Linked DNA regions of Mus musculus: all the other regions are reported to be linked to region 3. The links are microRNA targets in miRTarBase. Many come from high-throughput screens and were not tested one by one. Region 3 holds a microRNA gene; each other region holds the end of a gene's coding sequence.

Region 1 (5,063 bases), not on the chromosome of region 3:
TCCTTAAACGGGTAAGCAGTTTAGGGTCACCAGCTGCTGCTGCCTTGAAAACAGCTTCAGAAGGCACACCCTCGGTTACAGACTGGGCCTCCTCCCCCTCCAGGAACTGACTGGAGGGATTTACATGCCATGGCCTAGGATGGCACGGGCTTCCCTAATTACAGGGCCCCACTTCCTGCCTCTTTCAGCCAAGTCTCCCACACCCTTCCCATGAACTAGGAGGTCCACAGGACAGGTTCTTGCCATCCAGTCTGCTTTGGGCCTGTGATAGAAGATCGAAGCCTAGGACAAAGGCTCTGGGGTCCTTGGGCTTCCTTCTGGCAGAGCTTAGCCAGTGACCCTCTTCCCAGTTCTGTCCGCTCACCTTACCCCACTCCTCCTTGAGATGGGTTAACCTGTGTGTACTGTCCCTGGGGAAGGTGGGCAGAGGACCTTGGTGGTAGGAAAAAAGGGAAGTAGGAAATGGAGCTGCAGAAATGGGCACTGGCCTTGCCCCCGCAGCTGGCTACTCTAATCACTGAAAGACACCAGCAGTTTAGGGCATTAGCAGCTCCAAGTGGGCTTTGCACGGTGGCTATTTTGTCCTTTGTGGTACCAGCATCTTCAGGGACTGCCAGGTCTTCCCAGAGACAGAGTGGAGAGTGACCCAGAGCAGGGGTCCTTCACACACACACCGTTACGGGCTGGCTCAGTCTGGCAGGGCATACAAAGCTTTCCTGTCTCAGGCTACATGCAAAGGCAGACCAGTCGTTTTGACTTCTGAGCAGGCTGGGTTCCCCCCCACCCCCTCTCAAGGTGTTAGTCTTGTGGAGCAGAACTTGCTGAAGCACCTAGAGTTCACTACCTGCTGGTACAAGTGGGAGGGGAGGGTGGGAAGGCCCAGCTCAGCTCCCAGAGATCATTTCCCAACAGAGAATTTGCATACACACCAGTTTCCCCATCACCCAGCTTGGCTCAAGTAACCAGGAAGAGCTGGCATAAGGAGCAGCTGGGGCGGCTGCTTGGAATTTGATCCCTTGCAGCAAGCCTGGTGGCTCGAGCTTTGGTCTTGGGAGTTACATTTTGTCCCTGCCGCCCTCCCCGTTAAGCTCCCACGTGGATCACTGTGGGTCAGGCAGCTGAAGCCCTGAGAGAAGGGCAGTGAGTAGCCAGGGCTGCCTGCTAGTGAGTGGGGCGTGAACTGGGGCCTCACTGCCTCTAGATGCTGCTAGTTAAGGTCTTCTTTTGTAATGTCTGGAGAGGTGGTGTGTCTTTGTGCCCATTTCACAGGTGGAAGGCCAAGGTCCCGTGTGATCCAGTGCTACCTGTCTGAGTGGCCTCAGTGGCCAGGGGACAAGAGGTGGTGAGAACTTTGGAGTTAATGCTGAAGCAAGTCACAGAGAAGAAACAGCCTTGGCTTTGAGCCAGGCTGCTTGGGTAGCCCTGCCTGGAAGCAAGATTGAGAAAGAGGCCTGGAGGCATGGCCACGTGGTTGGCTAGTCCAGCTGAGCCAAGCTGTCAGGAAGCATGGGCACCAAGACAGGCATCAGAAGGCCTGAGCCCAGAGCCCGGTCCTAGCTGGCACCTATTGTTTGAATCTGTAGCCCTCACTGGTTTCAGTGGACCAGCAGGGCCAGGCCCTGCCTTCTAACATTAGCCATAGCCAGCTGGCACTCATGCTGCTGCCTGCCTGTGGAGTCAGCCCATTTCTCACCCCCATAGGACAGTCACAGATGACTTCAAACTCCGGCTAAGAAAGCCAGGACAGTGGAAGAGTTCTTCTCACTTCCCCTTGTGAGCGGCCCCTGAATCTCATGGCCCCCAAAGCTCCACAGTATGGTACAGACAGGGCCGTACTGAGCAGCCGAGTGGGCGAGCATTCTACTTGCTTCAGTGGGAGGAGCAGCTCACTTCCCATTTCTGCAGAGGCTTGAGTCACAACAGTCTGGTGTCAGGTTTTGGGATCAGGAAGGGTACTGAAAGCCCTGCCCCAGCCTGCCTTCCTCCGTGGGACCTTGGGCAAGTCATTCAGCATTGCCAAGCAACTGATAATGAACCCGACTGTCCGGTATTTTAGCTTCCTATCCCATAAAGACAAACAGATGCCCACAGACGGCCGTTTAACCTGAGAATACATTGGCGCCCTTGTGTGTCCGTGTGTTTTATTTCGTGTGTTTGAGACCAGAGTCTCATGCAGGCCAAGTTGGCCTGGAACTTGCTTTGTAACCAAAGACGGCCTTGAACTTGTGGCCCTCCTGCATCTTCTTCCGGGATGCTGGGATGGCAGGTGTACGCTCCAACACCAGGTGCTGAGTATTGAACTCAGTGCATGGTTGGCTGCCTTCCCAGAGCCCTGGACAATGTAGTTCCTTTGTAAGAATAAATAAGGCATTGCCGTCTCTCCTTATGCTGCTAACAGCTCCCGAGGAGGCCGGGAGGAACACGCATGGCATAGACACCTTTAATTCCTGTGGGAGGGAAGCTTCCAGCTCCTGCATGCCAACGGATCCTGATGTTTGTCCTAAGCAGGCACTTCTGGAAGGGTGGTCAGGGAAAAGTTGGGCGGAGCTCGTGGGGAGGATTCCCACAGTGACATTTTCTTCCAGAGCTTCACAGCTGTTCTGTACGGAAGTAGTTTTTAAAACAGAAATATGCACTAAGGTACACCGACTACTAAGTACAAATATCAGAGGAATTGTTCAAAGGTAGGATTATTAAAGCTGTAATTCCGCCTCCCCCCACCCTTTTCCTTGGCTGGTAATATTTGCTTAGGAATTGTGTGATAGCCTAGCCTTTCATTTAAAATATTCATGTTCATCTTTGAAGTTGGAGCTGGGAGGAGGGAGGAAGGTGTTATCTTGCCTGGGCTTGTCTAGGGCTGATGAGCAGTTTGACGTGGTGGATGGGGTCAGTCTGTGTGCCTGCCCACAGGAGTCAGTTATGGAAGCCTTCTAATGAGCAGTGCCTGTGCGGCAGGAGGCAGGTCACATACCTAGCATGTATTATCTCACTGAACCCTCATGACAAACCTGTAAGGTAGCTGCCATTAGGATTCCCATTTCATAGATGAGGAAACTGAGGTCTGGGAAGGATAGTCCCTTGCTCCAGCTGGTAGAGTCAGTGGCAGGGCGTCTCCAAGCTGCTGCTACTACCCCAGCCCTTCCTCCAGCTCTGCAACCCTGGTTCCTTGGACACACAGCAGATCTGGAAGGAGGAGCCTGTGTGCAAGCACCCAAGGGCTCCCTCACCTACTTGGATCACACCGCCCTCTGTGGCCCTGATCAAATCGTTTCCCTGTTTCCTACCCTCAATTCTTGTCATCAGAGAAAAGAGGAACAGCTTCATCCCTGCTGTCGCCCGCCCCGGCACCCCTCTACCCAGCTGAAGCCACAGGGCTCTGTGCCGTTACACTTCTTCCTGCAGCTGTCACCTGCTACCTTGCCTCCTATTAAGGTTCAGCTCCAAGGGACCAACTGCTTCTGGGAACCCTCCTTTCTGAGGACAGGGAGTGACATCTGCCCTACTGGCCTCCTGTCACCCCAGAGCAGCTCTACCCACCAGGCACAGTAAGGACAACTTCCTCTCAAAACGACTGGCAATAGCTTTTTTTTTCTTTTAAATTTCTCTCTTTTTTAAAAGATTTATTATTGTATGTAAGTACACTGTAGCTGTCTTCAGACACCCCAGAAGAGGGCACCAGATCTCATCACAGATGTTTGTGAGCCACCATGTGGTTGCTGACATTTGAACTCAGGACCTTCAGAAGAGCAGTCGGTGCTCTTAACCACTGAGCCATCTCTCCAGCCTGCCTGGCAATAGCCTTTATTTTGTCAACCTTTTTCATTTAAAATATTTAAATCTCGCCTCTGTACACAGCATACATGTGTCCTCCCACCCATGGGAGGTGTGGAAACAGAGGGCCTTGGAGCCCTGGTTGGGGGGGGGGTGTGTAGGTGGACAGAGCGGGCAGGGGAGGGGCTTAAAGAAGCATCTTGCTTACTAACATGAAGCCTCATGCCCTGTGAACAGGGATGAGGCCGCATTGGCTTGAGGGGGCCTCAGAGAGCAGGCACATGGTGCCTAACTAGCCGGTGGTGCCGGCGTCCCAGGGACAGGGTGGAAGGTGGGGTCCAGCTCAGGCCTCTGCTCCCCCATGCCTCCCACCCGGCCCTCTGAGAAAAAAAAAAGAGGGTTTGGGCATCAGCCACGGATGGACGGCCTGACCGGCAGCGTCTCCTTAAATGACAGAGATACAATGTGTATCAACAGGGTGATCACTTCTGACCTGTGCGGGACGGGTTGGGGTGCCGCGGGGCCAGAACCAATCCTATGGTATCTTTGGTTTGAGGATTCCCTTGCCTGCTTCACTTGTCCTTCTGTCCAGCTTCCAGGGTAGGCCAGGCAGGGGCTGGGGACCGCTATCTGTGATGCCCGACAGCCCCTTGCGCCACCTTCTGGCTTACTCACTGAGGTGCTGGGACTTGTAAGACAGGATCTCTGCGGCCAGCTGCTGCGGATCCAGCAGCTGTGGGAAGCGTCTCATTACAGCTTCTACCAGGTGTGGGGGGAAGACACCACACAGCTTGGTATATACACCAGCCCTTTCTTTGGCCAGGTCACCCACCCTGCCCCAGGGGCCCCCACCAGCCCCGGGGCTGGGTCTCTGGGGCTCCTGAAGGACAGGAGTGGGTGGGGGTAATGGGTACGGCTCAGACCAGTACTCTCTGGATGGGTAGGTGGGTGGCGGGGGCACATAGTCGGTGGGGACACTGAAGTGGCCAGCACCCATGGCTGGTCTAAAAGGAGAAAAGGAAGGTGCTGCTGGGACCTTGGATCCATAGCTGTGATAACCTGCATAGGGGCCCCGAGTGGGGCCCGACTCCCCAGGGCTGCCTCCTCGCACGCCCCATAATTCTGACATCTGGCTCTCCAGGGAACCAATGCCTGAATCAAGGCACTCCTGGGAGGTGTATGGGAGTGAGTCCTGGGTGTGTGCAAGCCACTCTGTGGGCCCAAAGCTGCCCCCACTAACAGGGAGGCTCCTGCCAGCTGGAGCACAGGTCTGCGGTGAGCCTTCTCGGTGG
Region 2 (5,063 bases), not on the chromosome of region 3:
ACATGTCACAGATTAGCCTATCCATGTGTCCACTGGCTGCTTCCTTAGTCCTACATACAGTATTCACAATTTCCATGCAGATCAATAAATGACCAAGCCTTCAAACAAGTATCATTTGTCTGTAACAACGTAGCCATGAGACACTGCATCTAACACCTACAGCACAATCAAAGATTGATGTAACAAGGGAAGTCATAAAAGACTCCATTTATTTGTCTGTTTGTTTGTTTATTGAGACAGGTCTCTTGTAGCCATAGCTAGCTTGAACTTGTTCTGTTGCTAAAGATGATTTGACATTTCTGCCTCTACCGTCCATGTGCTGGGATTATAGACACACACCAGGCCCAGATACGAATCTTAATACCAAAATTATCCTTTACACTTCATATGCTTTCCAGCCTGATGGAAATACTGTGGGGAAAGAAGTGTAAAGCCTGTTTGGCACTCATGCTTGACATAACAACTTTGTCACACAGACCTGAATAGAGCTATGGAGGAGCTAGCCCTCTCTGAGGTAGTTGCTACAGAACTTCAACCTCAATAGTGACTTAAAAACAAAACAACTAGTACAATCTGTAACTTTCTAGATTTAGTGAAGATATGAGAGAGCAGGTCTCTGTAAAACTGCATGTATTCCTGTACAGTCAGGGGCACTGCACCACAATAATGTCTGTTTTATCTTTCCCTTCATTTTTATTTTATGTTTATGAGTGTTTTGACTGTGTCTGTGTTCTACATTGGCACAGTGCCTACAGAAGCCAAGAAAGGGCTTAGATCCCTAGGAACTGAGTTATAGATAGTTGTAAGCCATCATATAGATACTGAAAACTGAACTTGGGTACCCTGGAAGGCCCAGTGCTCTAATTACTGAGCCTTCTCTTTATCCCCAGCCCATGTATGTATGTATGTATGTATGTATGTATGTATGTATGTATGTATGTATGTGTATATACACATATACATATATATTTTTAAGACAAGGTCTTATTATGTAGCCCTGGCTGGTCTGGAACCTGTTACATAGAACAGGATGGCCTCAAACTCTCTGAGATCCCCCTACCTCTACCTTCTGAATAATGGGATTAAGAGTCTGCCACTAGGCCAATTGTTTTTTGATGTTTATAGTAGACAAGTGGATGAGAGTCTATAAATTCCATCTCAGCAATTCTGATGTAAACTGAAAATCAGTTCAATATATAAATGTAGGGCTGAGGGCATGGCTCAGTGGTAGAGAACTTGCCTAGAATGTATAAGGTCTTAGGTTCAATCCTCAGCATCTCAAAGGGAGGGGGCACAAAACCTAAATTGTCAAATATAAAATATTTAAAGAGATCAGAAAACCTCTACGAACTCAGAAAATGGGTAAAGGACATTTAAAGATCTGAAATCCAGAATGCTCTAAAACAAACTGCACTGAAAAACTGGAAAATAAAAGCAGACAGCTTATAAAAAATAGGAAAAATTAAATAGTAATTTTAGTTTAATAATAGAGAAATTAGGATGGACGGTGGTGGCACATACCTTTAATCCCAGCACTCAGGAGGCAGATGCATCTGTGAGTCAGAGGCCAGCCTAGTCTATAGATTCTGTTCCAGGATAGCCAGAGCTACACAGAGAAACCCTGTCTTGAAAACCAAAAACCAATATATATATATATGTATATGTATATATGTATATATATCATATGTATACATATATGCATACATATATATATACATATCATATGTATACATATATGCATACATATATATATATTCTTAAAATGCCAACACCTAGTGTTGTATCATAAATTACTTTAAAAATGAGCTGATTATCACCAGGCATGGTGGCACACACACACACCTGTAATGCAAATATGTAGAGGATGAAAGCAGGAAGATGAATCCAAGGGCAGCTTCAGCTACACAGTTAGTTCAAGGCTAGCCTGAGCTGCATGAAACTGACACTCTTGTCACAAACTAAACCAAAGCAAATCATAAACTGAGCTTCTGAGGCTCCGACGGCATATGCTATATATTAACAAACTTGGTTAGTTTAACGAATGGGCTTAAATTGGATTAAGTATTTGTTTTAAAAACAAATGTTTGAATGCTGCTAAAATATAACTTCTTATACAATGCCATCACATTTTGGCTTGGTTTTTTTTTAACATCAAAAGCTAATAAATAATAGAAAACATTAATAAAATAAATACTAAGTGAGAACACTTAGTAGTATCAGATAAGAACAGTGATAAGAATAAAAATATAAAGAAAACAATACACACCTTTTGGTAGAAAAGTCAGAAAAAAAAAGGACATTAAATTTAAAGAGCTGGGTATGTTGTGGGAGAAAAGCTAAGAACTTTGCTTGTGATGTGATCATGACTCAGCATCCATCAGTCTCCTTGGGCTAGACCCCTGGGACTGCCAGTGGGGGCCACACAGAACACAAGGTCCACCACCAGTCTGGAACCCTGCAGAGCCCCGCACATACTCCCAATTAACGTCATTGCTTCTGAAGGCTTCTGAGTCTCAGTGGTAATGCATGGGTGAGCGGCAAGAGCTCAGCCTGGGAACGTCCTGGGGGCCTTCTGGCAGGAGCCCGACTCAGAACGGAGGCAGTCAAACTCAAAGCGCTCAGCTGGGCCTAACACCTAGAAGCCCAGCAATGAGGAGGCTGAGGGAGATCATGATTTTTGAGTCTAACCTAGGCTACATAGCAATTTCCAGGCTAGCCTGGGCTACATAGGGAGTTCCAGGCCAGTTAGGTTAACTAGTAAGATCTTGCCAGAAACAAAAATCAAGATGGTGTTAAATGAACACCAGAGTTGGAGGTCTAGGCCTCGGCAGTGGGCTCAGGGGAAGTGGGCATTGAGGCTTATAACCTTCTGTAGAGGTGAGCAACAGTGGTTCCTCTTCACTCTATAGAGTCACGCGAACCCATCCTGGAAGCCAGCATGGTGGGGGAACTTGTCCACTGTGCAGAATCCAGAGTTCTAGATGCATGAGGCTCCTTTCTGCCCTGCCTCTTCTGCCACTGTGGCCGTGCAGAGAGCTGGTGTGAATTGGTGGAACAGGGAAGGATGGACCTTCCCCAGCGAAAGTGAATCTCAGCGTGGAGACAAGCACTGGCCTGACACATGCTGACTCTCAAGCACGCCAGACAGTCATGTGGAAGCTAGGCGCCTGTCCTTATGATCCCGACTTCCATGGCCCCAGCAGAGCCATTTGGGCCACTGCTTCTTCTCTCTTCCTCTGTGGCGCCTAGACCCTCAGGACCAGCTGAGGGAGGTCACGGGGAAGAGGAGCTTGCGAGAGTCCTCAGAAGCAGCACCTCCCTTGGCATCCTATGTGCACAGGCTGGCATCCTATGTGCACAGGCTGGCATCCTATGTGCACAGGCTGGCATCCTATGTGCACAGGCTGGCATCCTATGTGCACAGGCTGGCATCCTATGTGTACAGGCTGGCATCCTATGTGCACAGGCTGGCATCCTATGTGCACAGGCTGGCATCCTATGTGCACAGGCTGGCACAGGGCTCAGGAAGCACAGACATCCAGAGACCTGAAGGCCTTAATAGGGGCAGGGGTAGCACACAGAAGATACAGTACGTGGTCGGCCACAGTGCCAGCTGAGGGATCAGGTCACACAGGTGAATCAGATGCTGTGTGAACGGGTCCAGGGGAGCACAGGGCCTGGGGAGAAGGCAAAAAGCTGGATGGGGACAAGCATGCCATGCTTGGTGGGCCTCAGTCACTGTGACAGAGGAACCAAGTACAAGAGTCACCAAGACTACAGAACTTCAAGGAGGCCACAGGGATGAGAGGCAAAGGCCTCAGAGTCTAGTCAGCTCTGAGAAGAACTCTGGAAATGGAGCTGACTGGCCAAGGTGGTCAAAGAAAGTCTCTCCGGAGGCCACCTTCAGGTGTGGACTCGCAGCGAGGCGCAGCAAGAGCTTCAGGCTCTGCAGAAACACAAAGACAAAAGACAGTTCTCCAGCCCTCATTCCATCTCTAGACTAGGGGGAGCTGCAGAACTCACAGACCCTGCCCTTCCCAATCCTACCCTACACTACAGCAGCAAATGTACCCCTCTGAGGGGAACCTCAGAGGAGCTGCAGGGTCAAAGCACCAGCAGGGGGGCACCATGGGCCCACATTTGGCAAGAAGATTCATTTGCCCTTTTCTTATAAGGGGCTGAGGCTCAGGGGCATGGAAATGTAGCCTTGGCAATTGTGGGTACAGGACACCTGGCAGAGCCAGGGCCCTGGGTGAGGGCAGAGGGTGTCTCTTACAGAGATGCTAGACAGGGCTGAGGGTTCAAGAGCTCAGAAGCAGGAGGGCTCAGGAATCCTAACCTAAGTCCAAGCCAGGGCCAGGCCTGGCGTGAGAGACTAACAGCCCCACTGCACAGCAAACCTTTCCACTTTCTGGGGGTGACGTCTCACTCACTCCCTGCTCCCTGAAGAGGCAGCCGGGCCTCTGTCCCATCACCCCACAATGTGGCTGTCACCATCAGTGCGGGCCCGTCATTCGGTGTCAGGGTCTTGGAAGCCCCAAGCCTCCACAGCTGCGATGAGGAAGTTCTCAGAGCAGAGGGGCTGGTTGTTGAATGTGTCACAGTGTCCAGTGCGCCCTCGATTCAGGTCCCCATCAACGTAGAGTGCTTGACCACCTCCTCCCCCTGTGGGATGTGCAGGGGAACAGATGTCTTTCTGCTCCAACAACCACCCTTCCCTAGATACCCCATCGTTTTTGTCCTTGAAGGGTCTGCTAAATAGTAATCGCAGGAGAGAGATCCCTCGAACTACAGAGGTTCCTCTAGAAGCACACATTTATCTAGGTCTGACTCCCTACCTAACGCTTGCTTGCTAGCCCTTAGTTTCTATCTCTACCCCAAACAACCCAGGTCCTTTTCCTTTGCTTAACTGAGATGTCTACTACTGGTAGTCAACAAGGACTGGGCACAGAGGCTTCAGCTACCCACAAGTCCCCTCCGAGTACAGGCAGGACCCAGTCTGGGGTGAAGGGAACAGGTGCCCACCAATGATGAGGCAGTCATTGCCTCCAGCCATGAACATG
Region 3 (5,076 bases):
ACTGGCCCAGCACAGCATAATTTCTAAAACTCTAAGTCACCTGTCATTCAAAATGATTGATGGGTGTGTGTGTGTGTGTCTGTGTATCTGTGCTACTTCTATATGTTTGTATGGATGTATATGTATATGCATATGCACACATGCACATGCACATAAACTATACACACATAAACATACATTGGGGGGAACCCCGTGAAGTCAGGCTGATCTCTATGTCATTTTGAAATTACTCATGAATTTGGACCCCTGATCCATCTGAATATAACAAACATTTTTACTGGTAAGTAAGACGTTTCATTGGCCCAGTAATACATACTCTTAAAGCTCTAAGTCATATATCATTCAAACGTAACGACGAATGCAATTTCTTCTGTGTGTGTGTGCCTGCATATACACGTGTGTTTATGTTATGTATATTCATATCAACACATGCACATGCACATACAAGTAAGCACACATGCACATACATGGGTAGCATCACAGAAATACCAGGATGATCTCCAACTGAAATTAAGCATGGATTTGAACTCCTGATCCTCCTGACTCTGTGGTTTACACCTGGTGATTGAGACCATTCACTGTCCCACTACTGCATAATCTCTAAAACTCTAAGTCACCTATCATTCAGATGGATCGATGAGTGTCATTCCTGTGTCTCTGTGTGTGTGTGTGCTTGTGTTTATATGTATGTGCATGTTATGTCTATTCATATACACACATGCACATGTACACAAAACTATACACCCATGCACATACATGGGTGGCAATCACATGAATCACAGGCAGATATCTATATCCTCCTGAAGATAAGCATGAATTTGAACTCCTGATACTCCTGATTCTAGCAAGCATTTTTACCTAGAAAATGACAGCACTCACTGGCCCAGTACTGAATAATTTCTAATATTCTAGGTGGCATATCATATAAATGGATCTATGAATGTTATTCGTGTGTGTGTGTGTGTGTGTGTGTGTGTGTGTGTGTGTGTGTGTGTGCACGCTAGGGTTTATATGTCTATGTATATGTTATGTATATCCATATAGACACATGAACATACACACACAACTATACAAACCTGCATGTACACTTAAGGCATCACATGAATCACAGGCTTATCTCTAAATCATGCTGAAGATAAGCATAAATTTGAACTTCTGATACTCCTAACTATAGTAAGCATTTTCACCTAGAGAATGAGAGCACTCACTTGCCCCATACTGAATAATCTCTACTACTCTGAGTGGCATATCATTTAAATGGGTCAATGAATGCCATTCCTGTGTCTGTGTGTGTGCTTGCGTTTATACGTGTGTGTGTATGTTATGTATATTCAAATATAGACATGAACATGCACACACAACTATACACACATGCACATACATGGAGGAATCTCAGGCTGATCTCTCATGAGGATAAGCATGAATTTAAACTCCTGATACTCTTAACTCTAGCAAGCATTTTCACCTAGAGAATAAGAGCACTCACTGGCCAAGTACTGCATAATCTCTAATATGCTAAGTGACATATCATTCAAAGGGATCGATGAAAGCCATTCTTGTGTCTCTATGTGTGTGTGCTTGCGTTTATACGTGTATGTTATGTATATGCAAATACATGCATGAACATGCACACACAACTATATACACATGCACAATCATGGGGCCATCACATGAATCACAGGCTGATCTCTAAATCCTCATGAAGGTCAGTATGTGTTTTAACTCCTGAATACTCTTAACTCTAGCAAGCATTTTCACCTAGAGACTGAGAGCACTCACTGGCCAAGTACTGCATAATCTCTAATACTCTAAGTGACACATCATTCCAATGGATTGATGAGTGGCATTGGTGTGAGTGTGTGTGTGTGTGTGTGTGTGTGTGTGTACTTGCATTAGTGTGTGTATGTTATGTATATTCAAATACAGACATGCACACACAACTATACTCACATGCACACACATGGGCGATATCACATGAATACCAGGATGCTATCTAGCTGAACATAGGAGTGAATTGGAACTCCAGATCCTCTTGACTCTTTCAATCGTTTACAACTGGTGAGTGAGACAATTCACCGTCTCTACTTCAAAATCTCTAAAACTCTAAATCACTTATCATTCCAATGGATCGATGAATGGCATTCCTGTGTCTGTTTGTGCACTTGTGTTTACTTGTGTGTGTGTGTGTATGTTATTTATATGCAAATACACACATCCACACACAACTATACACACATGCACATACATGGAGGCATCACATGAATGCCAGGCTGATCTCTAACTCATCATGCCGTTAACATGAATGTGCACTCCTGATCACCCTGAATCTAGCAAGTCTTCTCCTGGTGACTGAGACCTCTCTCTGTCAGCCCCAGTCATACAGAATCTCTAAGACTCTAAGTCACTAATTATTCAAATAGATGGATGAGTGCCAATTTTTGTGTGTTTGTATGCATGTTTGTATGGGTATGTGTGTATGTATATGTATATTCATATACACACATGTACATGCACACATACATATACACACAGGCATATATACTAGGGTCATCACAAGACTCCGAAGCTGATCACGAACTCATCATGAAGTTCAGCATGAATTTTGATTCCTGGTCATCCAAAGTCTGGCAAGCAAGCATTTTCACCTTGTGAGTGAGAGCACTCACTGGCCCAGCCCTGCATAATCTCTAAAGCTCTGAGTCACCTGTCATTCAAAAGGATCAATGAGTGACATTCCTCTGTGTGTGTGCGCGTGTGTGTGTGTGTGTGTGTGCGTGCCTGTGTGTTTATGTTTGTCTGTATGTAGATGTATATTTGTATACACACATGTACATATACACAAAACTATACACACATGCACATATATGGGGGGAGGATGCCATGAGGCCAGGCTGATCCCTAGGTCATTTTGAAGTTATTCAGGAATTTGAACTGCTGATCCAAAAGGCAAGCGTTTTACCTGGTAAGTTAACTGAGACATAGCTCTGGCCATTCCTGTGAGTGAGTGTGTGTGCATGCGTGTATATGCATATTCATATAGAGAAGTGTATGTGCACAAAGCTATACACACATGCACATTCTTTATGGTCATCACATGAATAGCATGCTGATCTCTAACTCATCATGAAGTTAAACATGAATTTGAACTCTTGATCCACCTGACTCTGTGGTGTGAGACCTCTCCCTATTGAGTACTGCAGAATCTCTAAAACTCTAAGTCACATATCATTCAAATGGACTGAGGAGTGGCATGCGTGTGTGTGTCTGTGTCTGTGGATGGGTCTATGTGTGTGTAGGTATGTATATTCATATACACAATCCACACACAGTTACACACATATACACATACATGGGGACATCACATGATTCCCAGGCAGATCTCTAAGTCATCATGAAATAAAGCATGAATTTGAACTCCTGACCTCCTGATTCTAACAAGCATTTTTAACATGATGGGTGATAACTCTCCCTGACCTAGTCACACATAATCTCCAAAGCTCACAGTCACATAGATCAATGAGTGAGTGCCATTCCTGTGTGCCTGTGTGCTCATATGTGTCTTATGTGTGCGTGTATGTATATGGATATCATATTCACATATGTACATGTACACACACATAAACACATATACACATACATAGGGGCAATCACATGAATGCCAGGATGACCTCTAACTCATCATGCCTTTACCATGAACTTGCACTCCTGATCTTCCCGACTCTACCAAGGGTTTTCCCGTGGTTTGTGAGACCTCACCCTGGCCCAGTCATACATAACCTCCAAAGCAGTAGGTCACATATCATTCAAATGGATCCGTGAGGGCCATTCCCGCATGTCTGTGTGCATGTGTGTGTAGGTGTGTGTATGTATATGCATAAAATATACACGCATATACATGCGCGCACTTATGCACACAGGCACATACATAGGGGCCATCACATTATTCCAGGATGATCTCTAACTGCTCATGAAGTTAAGCATGAAATTGAACTCCTGATCCTCCTGACAATGCCAATTGTTTACACCTTGTGAGTGAGACCATTCACTGTCCTTCTACTGCATAATCAGTAACATTCTAAGACATATATCATTCAAATGGATCGATGAATGCCATACCTTGGTGTGTGTGTGCTTGCTTTTATACGTGTGTGTGTGTGTGTGTGTGTTATGTATAATCATATACACACATGTACATGCACACAAAATTATGTGTGCATGTACATACCTAGGGTCCATCACACGAATCCAGGATGATCACTAACTGATCATTAAGTTAAGCATGATTCTGAACTCCAAGACTTCTGATTCTGGCAAGCGGTTTTCATCTAGTTGGCGAGATATTTCACTGTACCATAAATATACACTCTATGAAATTCTAAGCACATATAAAACTTATGGATGACTGCCATGTGTTTCTGTATGCATGCATGTGTGAATATGTGTCAATATATGTCTTTTCATATATCCGCATGTACAGACAAACTTATCTATACACATACACAGAAACAATCACATGAATAACAGGCTGATCTGTAACTCATCAGGAAGTTAAACATGAATTTGAACTCTGGGACCTCCTGACGCTGGCAAGAGCATCCACCTCCTAACTGAGACATAGCTCTGGCCCAGCACTGCATAAGCTCTAAAGCTCTGAGTCACATACCATTCCAAAGGATATATGAGTGCCATTCCTGTGTCTGCATGTGTGTATATGCATATTCACATAGAGAAGTGAATATGCACACAACTACACACACATGCACATTTTGGTGTGCATCAATGAAACACATGCTGATCTCTAATGCATCATGAAGTTAAACATAAACTTGAACACCATATTCTCCTGACTCTAGCAAGATTATTCACCTCCTACCTAAGAAATAACTCTGGCCATTCCTATGAATGTGTGTGCATGTGTGCATATGCATATTCATATAGAGAAATGAATATGCACACAACTATACACACATGCACATTCTTGGTGGGCATCACATGAATCCCGTGCTGATTTCCAACTCATCATGAAATTCAGCACAAATTTGAACTCCTGATCCACCTGACTCTGGCAAGGGATTT

Evidence for each region. The annotated mature microRNA mmu-miR-297c-5p reads AUGUAUGUGUGCAUGUACAUGU and lies in region 3 at 2,501-2,522, opposite strand. An mRNA with a match to its seed (bases 2 to 7 or 8) in the 3' UTR can be bound and repressed. Matches are read on the target gene's strand: a 7mer-m8 pairs with bases 2 to 8, a 7mer-A1 pairs with bases 2 to 7 and ends in A, and an 8mer does both.
Region 1: miRTarBase lists Zc3h12a as a target of mmu-miR-297c-5p. Seed matches in the 3' UTR shown: 8mer at 3,627-3,634.
Region 2: miRTarBase lists Tbc1d24 as a target of mmu-miR-297c-5p. Seed matches in the 3' UTR shown: 7mer-m8 at 939-945, 7mer-m8 at 935-941, 7mer-m8 at 931-937, 7mer-m8 at 927-933, 7mer-m8 at 923-929, 7mer-m8 at 919-925 and 6 more.

The regions. Positions count from the first base shown.
Region 1 is chr4:125,114,841-125,119,903 of GRCm38, forward strand. It overlaps Zc3h12a (zinc finger CCCH type containing 12A), which reads right to left. Exons shown (of 6, transcript NM_153159.2): 6 at 3,574-5,063. The coding sequence ends at 4,439. Among named protein-coding and RNA genes, the nearest start is that of Zc3h12a, 11 kb to the right of the region's middle.
Region 2 is chr17:24,176,731-24,181,793 of GRCm38, forward strand. It overlaps Tbc1d24 (TBC1 domain family, member 24), which reads right to left. Exons shown (of 8, transcript NM_173186.4): 7 at 5,026-5,063; 8 at 1-4,665. The coding sequence ends at 4,511. Among named protein-coding and RNA genes, the nearest start is that of Atp6v0c, 9.8 kb to the left of the region's middle.
Region 3 is chr2:10,506,472-10,511,547 of GRCm38, reverse strand. Mir297c (microRNA 297c) reads right to left here and starts at 2,532; the gene lies at 2,435-2,532. All of the region lies in intron 10 of Sfmbt2 (Scm-like with four mbt domains 2), which reads right to left. Mir467d (microRNA 467d) reads right to left here and starts at 3,918; the gene lies at 3,834-3,918. It overlaps Mir466 (microRNA 466), which reads right to left and starts at 3,630; the gene lies at 3,558-3,630. It also overlaps Mir669c and Mir669a-2.